2 linked regions of the Mus musculus genome follow. The protein of the gene in region 2 interacts with the protein of the main gene of each other region in a pairwise test. Links are inferred from orthologs where the notes say so. Each region holds a gene or a part of one and is shown on either strand. Other genes may lie near its edges.

Region 1 (4,665 bases), on a different chromosome or scaffold from region 2:
TTAGGAGATATAATAAAGAGATATTGCATATGCCTTTATATATAACTTAGCTGCTGGTACCAGCATTTCTCCAGCTGGGAAGAATTCTAAAGTCTTATCTCTATCCATGTCCCTCTAATCTCCATTTACAATACAGTCATCTTAAATTCTCTACACACCCAGTCAGAGCAGCAAAAGATAGTTGTATAATATCTACTTAACCCCTAAACAATATTTGGATAAAGCTAATAAAATAAAGGTAAGAAAGTGTGTTTTTATTTATGCATGCAAGCCTAACACTTCCCAGTGTTTTGTTGTGTTTTGTTTTTTGTTTTTCTTTCTCTATTCTCTTCTGTCATTTTTCTTTCCTTTCTGTTAAAAAATCATCTTTAGCTTTTTTTTTAAATAGCATGTCCAAGATTTGCTAACTTCTTTACATTTTATTGTATTTAAGTGTTTAGGGGAGGTGTTGTTTATGCAGATGCCTTAGAGGTAAGAAAAGATTATATCCACTGGAGCTAGAATTACAGGTGGTTGTGAGCCACTACATGTGGAAGCTTTGACCCATACTTGAGTCTTCCTGGAGGGGAGGAGGCATCCTAAGCTCCGCATCATTGTTCCAGCCTCTCAATGCTCACTTTCTCAATGCTCACTTTCTCAATGCTCACTTTCTCAATGCTCACTTCCTCAATGCTCACTTTCTCAATGCTCACTTTCTCAATGCTCACTTTCTCCTCAATGCTCACTTTCTCAATGCTCACTTTCTCAATGCTCACTGTCTCAATGTTCACTTCCTCAATGCTCACTTTCTCAGTGCTCACTGTCTCAATGCTCACTTTCTCAATGCTCACTGTCTCAATGTTCACTTTCTCAATGCTCACTTTCTCAATGCTCACTGTCTCAATGTTCACTTTCTCAATGCTCACTTTCTCAATGCTTACTTTCTCCTCAATGCTCACTTCCTCAATGCTCACTTTCTCAATGCTCACTGTCTCAATGCTCACTGTCTCAATGCTCACTTTCTCAATGCTCACTTTCTCCTCAATGCTCACTTCCTCAATGCTCACTTTCTCAATGCTCACTGTCTCAATGCTCACTGTCTCAATGCTCACTTTCTCAATGCTCACTTTCTCAATGCTCACTTTCTCAATGCTCACTTTCTCAATGCTCACTTTCTCAATGCTCACTTTCTCAATGCTCACTTTCTCAATGCTCACTGTCTCAATGCTCACTGTCTCAATGCTCACTTTCTCAATGCTTACTTTTTCCTCAATGCTCACTTTCTCAATGCTCACTTTCTCCTCAATGCTCACTTTCTCCTCAATGCTCACTTTCTCAATGCTCACTGTCTCAATGCTCACTGTCTCAATGCTCACTTTCTCAATGCTCACTTCCTCTTGAAAGGTCTTGTGCACAGCATGCAGAACGCTGAGCTGCCAGGTTTTCTTTCAGTGGTGGGGACACACCTTCCATCCCATCGTCTCTGAAAACAACCTACTGCTACTCAGACTTGTCTTCCCTCTTCATGTAAGACTTCATTTCTTTCAAAAGGTTTCCCTTGGCTATAATTTTCAGAAACTCTGCTATACTATATATTGATGTGAAATCCTTTGTGTTTTCCTGTTGAGGGCTTGGCTGGCTTCTTGAATCTCTAGTTGCATAGCCTTTAGAGGAGCAGTTCTCAACCTGTGGGTCACAGTCCCTTTTGGGGGTTGAATGACTCCTCCACAGGGTCACATACTACATATCCTGCATATCAGTTATCTACAATACAATTCATAACAGTAACAAACTTAGTTATGAAGTAGAAGTGACCTGATTGTATGGTTGGAGGTCACCACAACATGAGGACCTGTATTCAAGGGCTGCAGCTTTAGGAAGGCTGAGAGCCACTGCTTTAGAGAATTTGATATTTCCAGACATTTTCTTCAGTGACCTTTTTTCAGTCTGCCTATTGCTCCTCCTTTGCAGCTCAATATCATGCGGAGATCCTTGTCTCTCTTCACTGTCTCTGTTCTCTCTTGTCCTCTGAAGATTCTTCTGCACTGTTCTCTTCCAAGTTAAAAACGACACCTCTGCCGTCCACATCCTGGTCTCCAGCCCACTTCTCTCACTAGCTATTGTATTTTTTTTTTAATCTAAAATATCCTGGGTTCTTCTTTGGCCCTTTCTCCTTTGCTAAGATCCTTCTGTTTTTTTCTTTTTTCCTTTTTTTTTTTTTTTCTTTTCTAGAGAAGTTTAGTGAGCACAGCTTTGTCATGGTAATAACTGCAGCCTCAGGGTTGGCATTTTCTTTGTTCCCTTAGACCTTACCAGGGTATAGGTCAAAGGAGAGATTTTTAAGTCAAATATAAACATTTTCAGTATGATGCAATGAATTCTGGACCTTACTCAAATTCTAGCTAGCTTTCTCTGACACTAGCCAATGGAAAACTTAGAGAAAGGGCCTTGGGTTAGTGGCCCTTTCTTCTACAAAGGTGCCAAGGTCAAAGAACCTAGGGTCTGCTCCTGGAGTGGAGGGCTTCTATTATTTGAAGTGATCCAGGCCAGTAAACGTTGACCTATCTCTGGTTGAATTCTGTTACTATTTGTGGAACCTCAAATTGTTACATCTTCACGTCCTTGAATCAACTCTAGTTGAGTTGATGCCTTTTACTGATTATTTACTCATTTATCAAATTAGGTATAACAACATCTCATTCGATAATAAGCAATGGTTTATTGTAAGCAGGTAAATTCTTTTGGTGAAACTGAGACTATTGACCAAATGAACATAGCTAATTTCAACAGAACAGAAAAGAAAAAGCCACTCCTAACTTATCAAGTAGTTTTGTCATGCACAGATCCTGACTGCTCCAAAACTCTAAATGAGAAAGATCTTCAGTTCTACTCTGGTACCTGCTCCTGCGGTGGTGACCGGAACTCCCTGGTTTTCCTGGCAGTGAGTGCGGCAGACATGTTTAAGGCTTGCATGACTTCATTATACCTGAACCGTTGGTTGTCTTGGAGTTTAGCTACAAAGTCATCTGAAAAGGCTACAATGGCTTCGATCCGGTGCCTAACCTGGCAGTCACAGAGGTACTGAAGCAAGAGGCACATCTGAGGAGATAATTTAAAAGTCATAGCATTAATATTTAATTTATATGAAGTCATAACCAGTGTAAAATGTTCTTAGTTTCCTATTTTCTCTACAACACAGCATCCTAGCACTTGACAAGCAGAAATGTGTTTAATCTTACTGAATGAAGTTACCATGCACAGGCCAGCATAGCAGATACATGCCCCCGGAAGAGGCAATCATTCAGAGGTCCTCTATGGTACCACAGGCACAGCAACCAATGAATAAATAAGGAAGAGTTTACAAAGGGAACTTCTGGGAGGGTTTTCATGATTAGTTGGAAAATAGAACACCTTTCTTTCAAAATATATGCAATTGGGTTATAACTTAATTGTTGGAGGAAGGGTGTGGCAATGTACCTTTATGAGAAAGAACACAGTGTGAATATTGCTGAGCCGAAAGACATTGAATCCCTAATCCAGGGCTAGAATATGGTGGTCATATACAAACTGATCATGAGGTGAAAGCCCACTGCTTAAGTGACTAATTCAGTGATTTCTTATAGAAAAAACAAACAAATTTTCACTGGTAAACTATTTGTTGAGAAATGTTTGCTGATAAGTGTGTCTGTGAATGGTCTAGAGATATAGCTCTGTGGTAGAATGCTTGTCCAGGAAGTATGAAGCCTTGGGTGCAACTCCAAGCAACTCATGAAAAAAAAATCCACAAAAAGTCAGGGACTGAGGGGATGGCTTGATGGCGTTAAGAGAGCTTGTGGCTATTCCAGAGGCCCTGAGTCAAGTGCTTAGCACTCGTGCCAGGTGGCTAACAACTTCCTAACTCCAGCTCTAGGGGATCTGATGCTCCATTATGGCTTCTATGAGTACCTGTTCTCATATGTCTATACCCCCCACAGATTTACATATATATATATATATATATATATATATGTGTGTGTGTGTGTGTGTGTGTGTAAACAAAACTAAGTATTTTAAAAAGTAAGCTACCCATAAAAAATATGAATTTAATTTAGAAAAATCCCAACTACACTAAACATCCGTTGTAACAAATACAGAGTAGGCCAAAAGAAAAGTTTAAAAATTCCTGCATGTCAAAGTGGTATGATCATGTCAACTAGCAATCTCTTCTCCTTCCTCCAAGTCTTTTGTCCAGGGTGCCATGAGGGCACCATGCCCTCGAGTGTGGACAAGGCTGACTGCTTGCTGAAGAGACAGACTCTGGGCTGCTAGGCTGAACTCACCTCCTCTGCTTGCCTTGGAGACACCACCTGGCCTCTCCAGCCTCAGGCCCTGTGCTGTGCTGCCTGCTGTGTGCATAAAGCTCCTGGGACCCACTACCCAATCCCCCTGGGCTCTCTGGATGCCCCTAGGGAACCGCTGCTTCTCTACCAGACCTCAGCTGAAAAATCACCACCTGCAAAGACCCTTCTTTCTCTTTCTAACAGAACTCCAAGAGATCTTTCTTCTAGTGATTCATCTTTGGCAAAGACATTAAAAAGAAATTCATGATCAGGTACAAATTTCCCTAGAATCTGTGAACTTCTGGAAGGCAGAGGTCATGCCTGTTTCCTTCTCTCTACACCAGGCACATGGCCCAGAATAAAACTT
Region 2 (5,219 bases):
AGGCGGATCTCTGTGTATTTGAGGCCAGCCTGGTCTACATAGTGAGTTCCAGGACAACCAAGGCTATAGAGAGACCTTGTCAAAACAAAACTAACAAAACAAAACAAAACCAAAAAGCCAACCAACCAACAAACCCAAACTAATAATGTCTCCTTTCTGGTTTGTATTTGAACTTGATGCTACTGGTCTCAATTTCCTAGTCTAAAATTACTCCCTTACTTTCATCTATTTTACAAGTGTTCAGGAATAGCCTACTACGTGCTAGACCAGAATCATGAATAGCCTACTGTGTGTCAGATGACCAGAGACAGAGAGTAATATATGAACCCGTGAAGAAGAGAAGCACAAACCTAAATCTCAGATTGCTATAGAGTCATGATTACATCAAAGATGAATATCATTAACAAGAAATCAATAATGACCAGGCCTGTGCCCTCATATCAGAGATACATCGGAGAACAATAAAGACAGGAGCCCTGCTCTTCTAGGGTCTACCTTCTTTCTTTTGTGTACATGGGATGGTCATGTGGGGTGCAATGGAGTGGGGTGTGTGTGTGTGTATGTCACACCTAGCTTTTTTGGATGAGTGAGGAGATTCAGGCTCAAGTCTTCATGCATAGCTAGAGCTCTTAGCCACTGAGCCATTTCTCTGGTTTACATTCTAATGGAAGGAGACAATGCTCACATAAATATGATCATTACAGATGGTGATAAATCCTTTAAAGAAAATGAACACTGATGAATTTCAGAGAGACACAGAGAGCTGGCAATTTCAGAAAGGGTGAGCCAGGAAGGCATTTTGAAGAAGATGAGGTTTGAGCTGCTGCTTAAGAAGGAACCAACTCAAAAGACCATGAAGCAGGAAAAGATTGGTGCACTTTCAGAATAGGAAGGAAGAGGGTGAGATGGAGGAGAGGAACATGACAGTGATGCACCACGCAGCGTGCAGAGATGGGTCCCATACTAAATGCAATTGGAAACCACTGATGGGTTTAAAAGCATGGAAATGACCTAATCTGAATTAAGATTTTATAAGATCACTCTAGCTCCCGAGTGTGGGATGGATGGTTAGACATCTGTTGCTATAGTCTAGACAAGAAATCAATGGTTGCATGAATTAGCAGAGAAGAGAGTGAAATAGATTAGAGATACGTTTTGGAAGCAGGGCTGACAAGGGCATGCAAGTGGATGAGAGGAAGGAGCCCACTCCCCATCTCACCATTGAATGGTGGGAAAGGATTAGGGTTTGGGTAACCGGAAGGTGGTAGAGCTGTTCTGAGAGATGAGAAAACTGGAAAGGAACAGATTTGTGAGGGTGGCAATCTTGAGCTGCCCATTAGACATGCAAGTTTTTACTGCACAGAGGCAGATGCAGAGCCAACCCTGGATAAACAAACTGGGTGGAATAGAAAGCTATGAGACTGGATTAGGAGCTTGGGAACATAACAACACAGTCAGCGGTTAGTGGACTGTAGGAGCCTACCAAAGGAAGCCAGAGAAAGCCCCACAGAAAACAGTTAAATTGGCTGTTAAAAGATGGGTGGGCGTCTGTCTGGAGAAGTAAAGGGACCTGGGAAATAGAATTAGTTGTAAGACATGCTCGAAACCTGGAATCCAGAGTTGGGATGTAGCTCATGTACAGCAGGTGCCTAGCAAGCACAAGGGTTCCACCAGGAAACACACAAATCCTTAGGGTCCTAGAGTCCAGTCACAGTGAGAGCCCATTGGTTCCATCCTGTAACCCTAGGTCCAGCACACAGTGTACACGTTCCATAAATATCTGCTAAATGAGTGGTTTGTTTAACAACTCACAAGTGGCTTGGTGAAGTTGGTTGTGGATGCATGGATAGTAAGTATCGAAAGAGGAAGTGCCAGTGTGGATCCCTCCCGCCCTAGCAATCACCAAGAGGGCAGCTGCTTGCAGAAGTAGGGGGAAGAGTCTTTTAATGATTTTCTTCCTGAGGGAGGGGCCCTTAAAGCTCTGCATTTTAGGGGACCTGTGAGAAAAATGAGGGGACTGAGAACGGAAGTCAAATGGAAGGCGGGGAGAACGAAGATGGGGAGACAGCTCAGAGGCTGTGTGGGTGACAAGGCCTGGGAAGAAACGTGTATCTGCAAGGAGTGATCTGGGCAGTATCGGGTACTTCCAGGAAGCCCTCGGTTTGTAACCAAGAAGCCCTTTAACTCCCTGCGAAGGAGCATGCCAATAATATCCAACAGCAAGTTTGCTTGTTAAACACTCTGGACCTTGGGGGTGGCTTTTGGTCTGGATTAAATTTTGCTTAAGAAATAGCTACTCCTTGAATATGTTGAATACACCCAGTTTTCTAAATAGTTGAGGAAACTTGGTGAGACAGGGAACCCAGAGATAGATAGACTGGGAGGAGGGGGTGGGGTGGGGCGATGAACCAAATTATGGAACGCGAGTTGTTTTGACCTGGCTGACCCGGCACCATGGACCCCCCAGGAGGATCAAGCAGCAGGTCCGAAGGCTGGGTTTTGACTGAGGAGGGCATGGTAGAGGGCAGATGACCAGGAAGGGTGAGTAGGACCGGGAGGGTGAAATAGGAAGCAGAAGCAGCCAAAGGAGTGGCAGGCTCCCAAATTGGCTCTCTCCACAACTAACCACTGCCCAGCCCTGGGGGCCTCCAGACAAGAGGGGCGGGGAGGTGTGGTGCAATAGGAGGGGTTTCTCTGTACAGCAGGAACCCCCAAAGCGAGATCATCCCTGGAACCGAACAGGAAAAACGGAACAGAAATTCAAACCTGGGAAGTCAGTAGCAGCGGTTAATCGAGAGGTTGCAGCTCAGGAGATAGCAGCCGCAGCCTAGGACAGTGGCTGGACATAACCCCCTTGCCCTAAGGTGGCCGCCTTCACTCCCCAAGGTGAGCGGGCGCAGAATGGGATGGTGCGTTGTCCTCTGAAACCCACAAGAATCGGGGAAGGAGGTCTCCTCCTGTCGCCCGCATCTTTGACCCTCTCCCCGCTTCAGGTCCCCGGAGCCACCTCGGAATCAGATCCCAGCCCGCGGACTCCGCCCCGGGACCCCTCCTCCTCCCGGGCCCAGCCGCCCGGTACCGTCTCCTGGGGAGATGGTCTCGATCTCCACGCCCATCACGGTCCCACAGGCCCCGCCTCCAAGGGGGTCCTCGCGGCTGCCCCGACCCCGGCTCCGCTCTGGCGCGGACCCCGCAGGCACTCCCGCTCGCCTTCTTGCCGCCACTGCAGAGCCGGAGGAGGTGCGGCTGGAGTCAGGACCTGCGCGGGGAGGGGCCGCCGGGAAGGGGGCGGCGGGGTGGAGCTGTGCGACAAGGTGGGGTCGGCCGGGGCGGAGCCCGAGGGAAGCGACCCTGACGTGGCTGCTCCGGATCCTGGCCAGACTAACCACCATTAACCCACTGGCTGAAAGGGGAGGCAGGGTGAGCGAGGCGTGCCGGCACTAGCACATCCACACATCTATCCACTCAGTGTATATTTATTTAGCACCTACAGGGTGCAAAGCCCCAGGGAGTCCACTCAATCCTACAGACTAGGAGAAAGTCGGTAATTAAACTAACTCTTTAAATACGTGTGCTCAGTGCCGTGGGGTTCAGAGTAAAACGGAAGCACCCGAGACTGATACCTACCCGGGTTAGGCTTCCCGAATCTATTGGAGCAGAGCCGGCGAAGGGAAGAAACCAATTATTGACGAATTTTCCTCAACCACCTTAAGACCACATTCATCATTCCTCAAAGTTTTACAGCAGGTATATGTATTGGAGGTCTCACCTTTCAAGGTAAAGGACTGCTCCCTGGGGATTCCAACTGAATTAAAGGAGGATCAGCTCTGTGCTGAAGATACAGCGACAGCCTGAATGGTGAATGCTATAGAAGGAATGAATGAATTCTTTTACCTCTACCCAAACCAAACCAGGATCTAAAAAGATACTTTTGTCCTTCCCCAATCCGAATTCCGCTTCCTTGGTCCTGGGACTTGAATCCAGGGAAGCCAGGGCCTGTTCACTCACGCTAAGCTAACAGAGGTTACGTCCATGGCCCCTAGGAAGATACATTGGGAGGAGAAAACATTTGCTTGAAGGCTGAAGGAGACTTTAAGAAATGCCCCCCACCCCCATCTTTTCTACACCCGTTGCACAGATCTGAATTTGTTTCTGACAAGAGCCAATGGGAGGTGAGTATGGGAGAAGGACCTATTTATTCAAAGGCCCAGAACTGGAACTTGACGCATTTTCCTCAGTTTCTCCATCTCCACTCTTCCAAGTGGCTAGCTCGCAGATACTAGCTTGCCAGGATACAAGGACTAAAGTTGGTGCTCAGAAAAGCTGGTTTACGGTACTGTGCACGTTAGGATCAGAAAAAAACCCGTGTGTGTGCCCTAGAGTCGTCAGGGCTTAAGGCAAACAAACAAACAAAAAAGCTTAAGACACCCCACCCTCCAACCCTGACCCTCACCCCCCTACTGGTTATGGCCTTGGGCAGGTACTTTGAGATCGGGGTAGAACAGATCTGCTACTTGGGCAGGCCTACGAGGCTGGCTTCAGGTAAACGGATGTATTTACATTTTGGGAGTGATATTTTATGGGATTTTTAAATGTGGAGTTCTTGACTCCCCTCTAAACTAAACACTAACTTTTTACACATGTTGACTGTAGAATTCCGATTCCCTCTTGCCAACCAATTTTTTTTTTCTCTGTATAGCCCTGGCTGTCCTGGAACTCACTCTGTAGACCAGGCTGGCCTAGAACTCAGAAATCTGCCTGCCTCTGCCTCCCAAGTGCTGGGATTAAAGGCGTGTGCCACCACGCCCGGCTCTTGCCAACCACTTCTAAGAGAACAGTTGAGACCTGCGTGGGAAAAGAGGTTGAAGCACTTGAGGTGTATTGTGAAGATTTTCGGGCGGTGATTTCGCGGGAACTACAACTCCCAGAAACACTTGCGGCAAAGCCCGCGCTTAATGGCCATCGGAAGGACCCGCCGCTAACGTGACGCACTCAATAGCCAATAGTCTAGAGGCATCTCCGAGGTCCAAAGGCCGAGGCTTCCGTTAGGTGCCCGGGACTTCTGATTCCCGGTCCTGTGACGTGAGCGGCCCCGGGATTTTACGTGTGGGACGGGGAGGCAGAAGACTAAGGTATTTCGTTGTGTGTGTGTGTGTGAAGTGGGTGGCACTTCAGGCCCAGGGATGTAGGCGTGGGGAGAAGTTGAGGGAGAGTTGGAA

The links.
Region 1: the proteins of Fkbp1b (region 2) and Ryr2 interact in binary tests that used the Homo sapiens proteins (3 or more experiments, as listed by UniProt). The link is inferred for Mus musculus from reciprocal best matches to the Homo sapiens genes FKBP1B and RYR2.

Annotation. Positions count from the first base shown.
Region 1 is NC_000079.6:11,732,594-11,737,258, forward strand, and holds part of Ryr2 (ryanodine receptor 2), read right to left. Parts: intron 3,079-4,665; coding exon 2,878-3,078; intron 1-2,877. UniProt on the Homo sapiens protein: Cytosolic calcium-activated calcium channel that mediates the release of Ca(2+) from the sarcoplasmic reticulum into the cytosol and thereby plays a key role in triggering cardiac muscle contraction. Aberrant channel activation can lead to cardiac arrhythmia.
Region 2 is NC_000078.6:4,838,320-4,843,538, forward strand, and holds the start of Fkbp1b (peptidyl-prolyl cis-trans isomerase FKBP1B), read right to left. Parts: upstream 3,255-5,219; 5' UTR 3,117-3,254; coding exon 3,080-3,116; intron 2,922-3,079; exon of another isoform or gene 2,767-2,921; intron 1-2,766. UniProt on the Homo sapiens protein: Has the potential to contribute to the immunosuppressive and toxic effects of FK506 and rapamycin. PPIases accelerate the folding of proteins. It catalyzes the cis-trans isomerization of proline imidic peptide bonds in oligopeptides.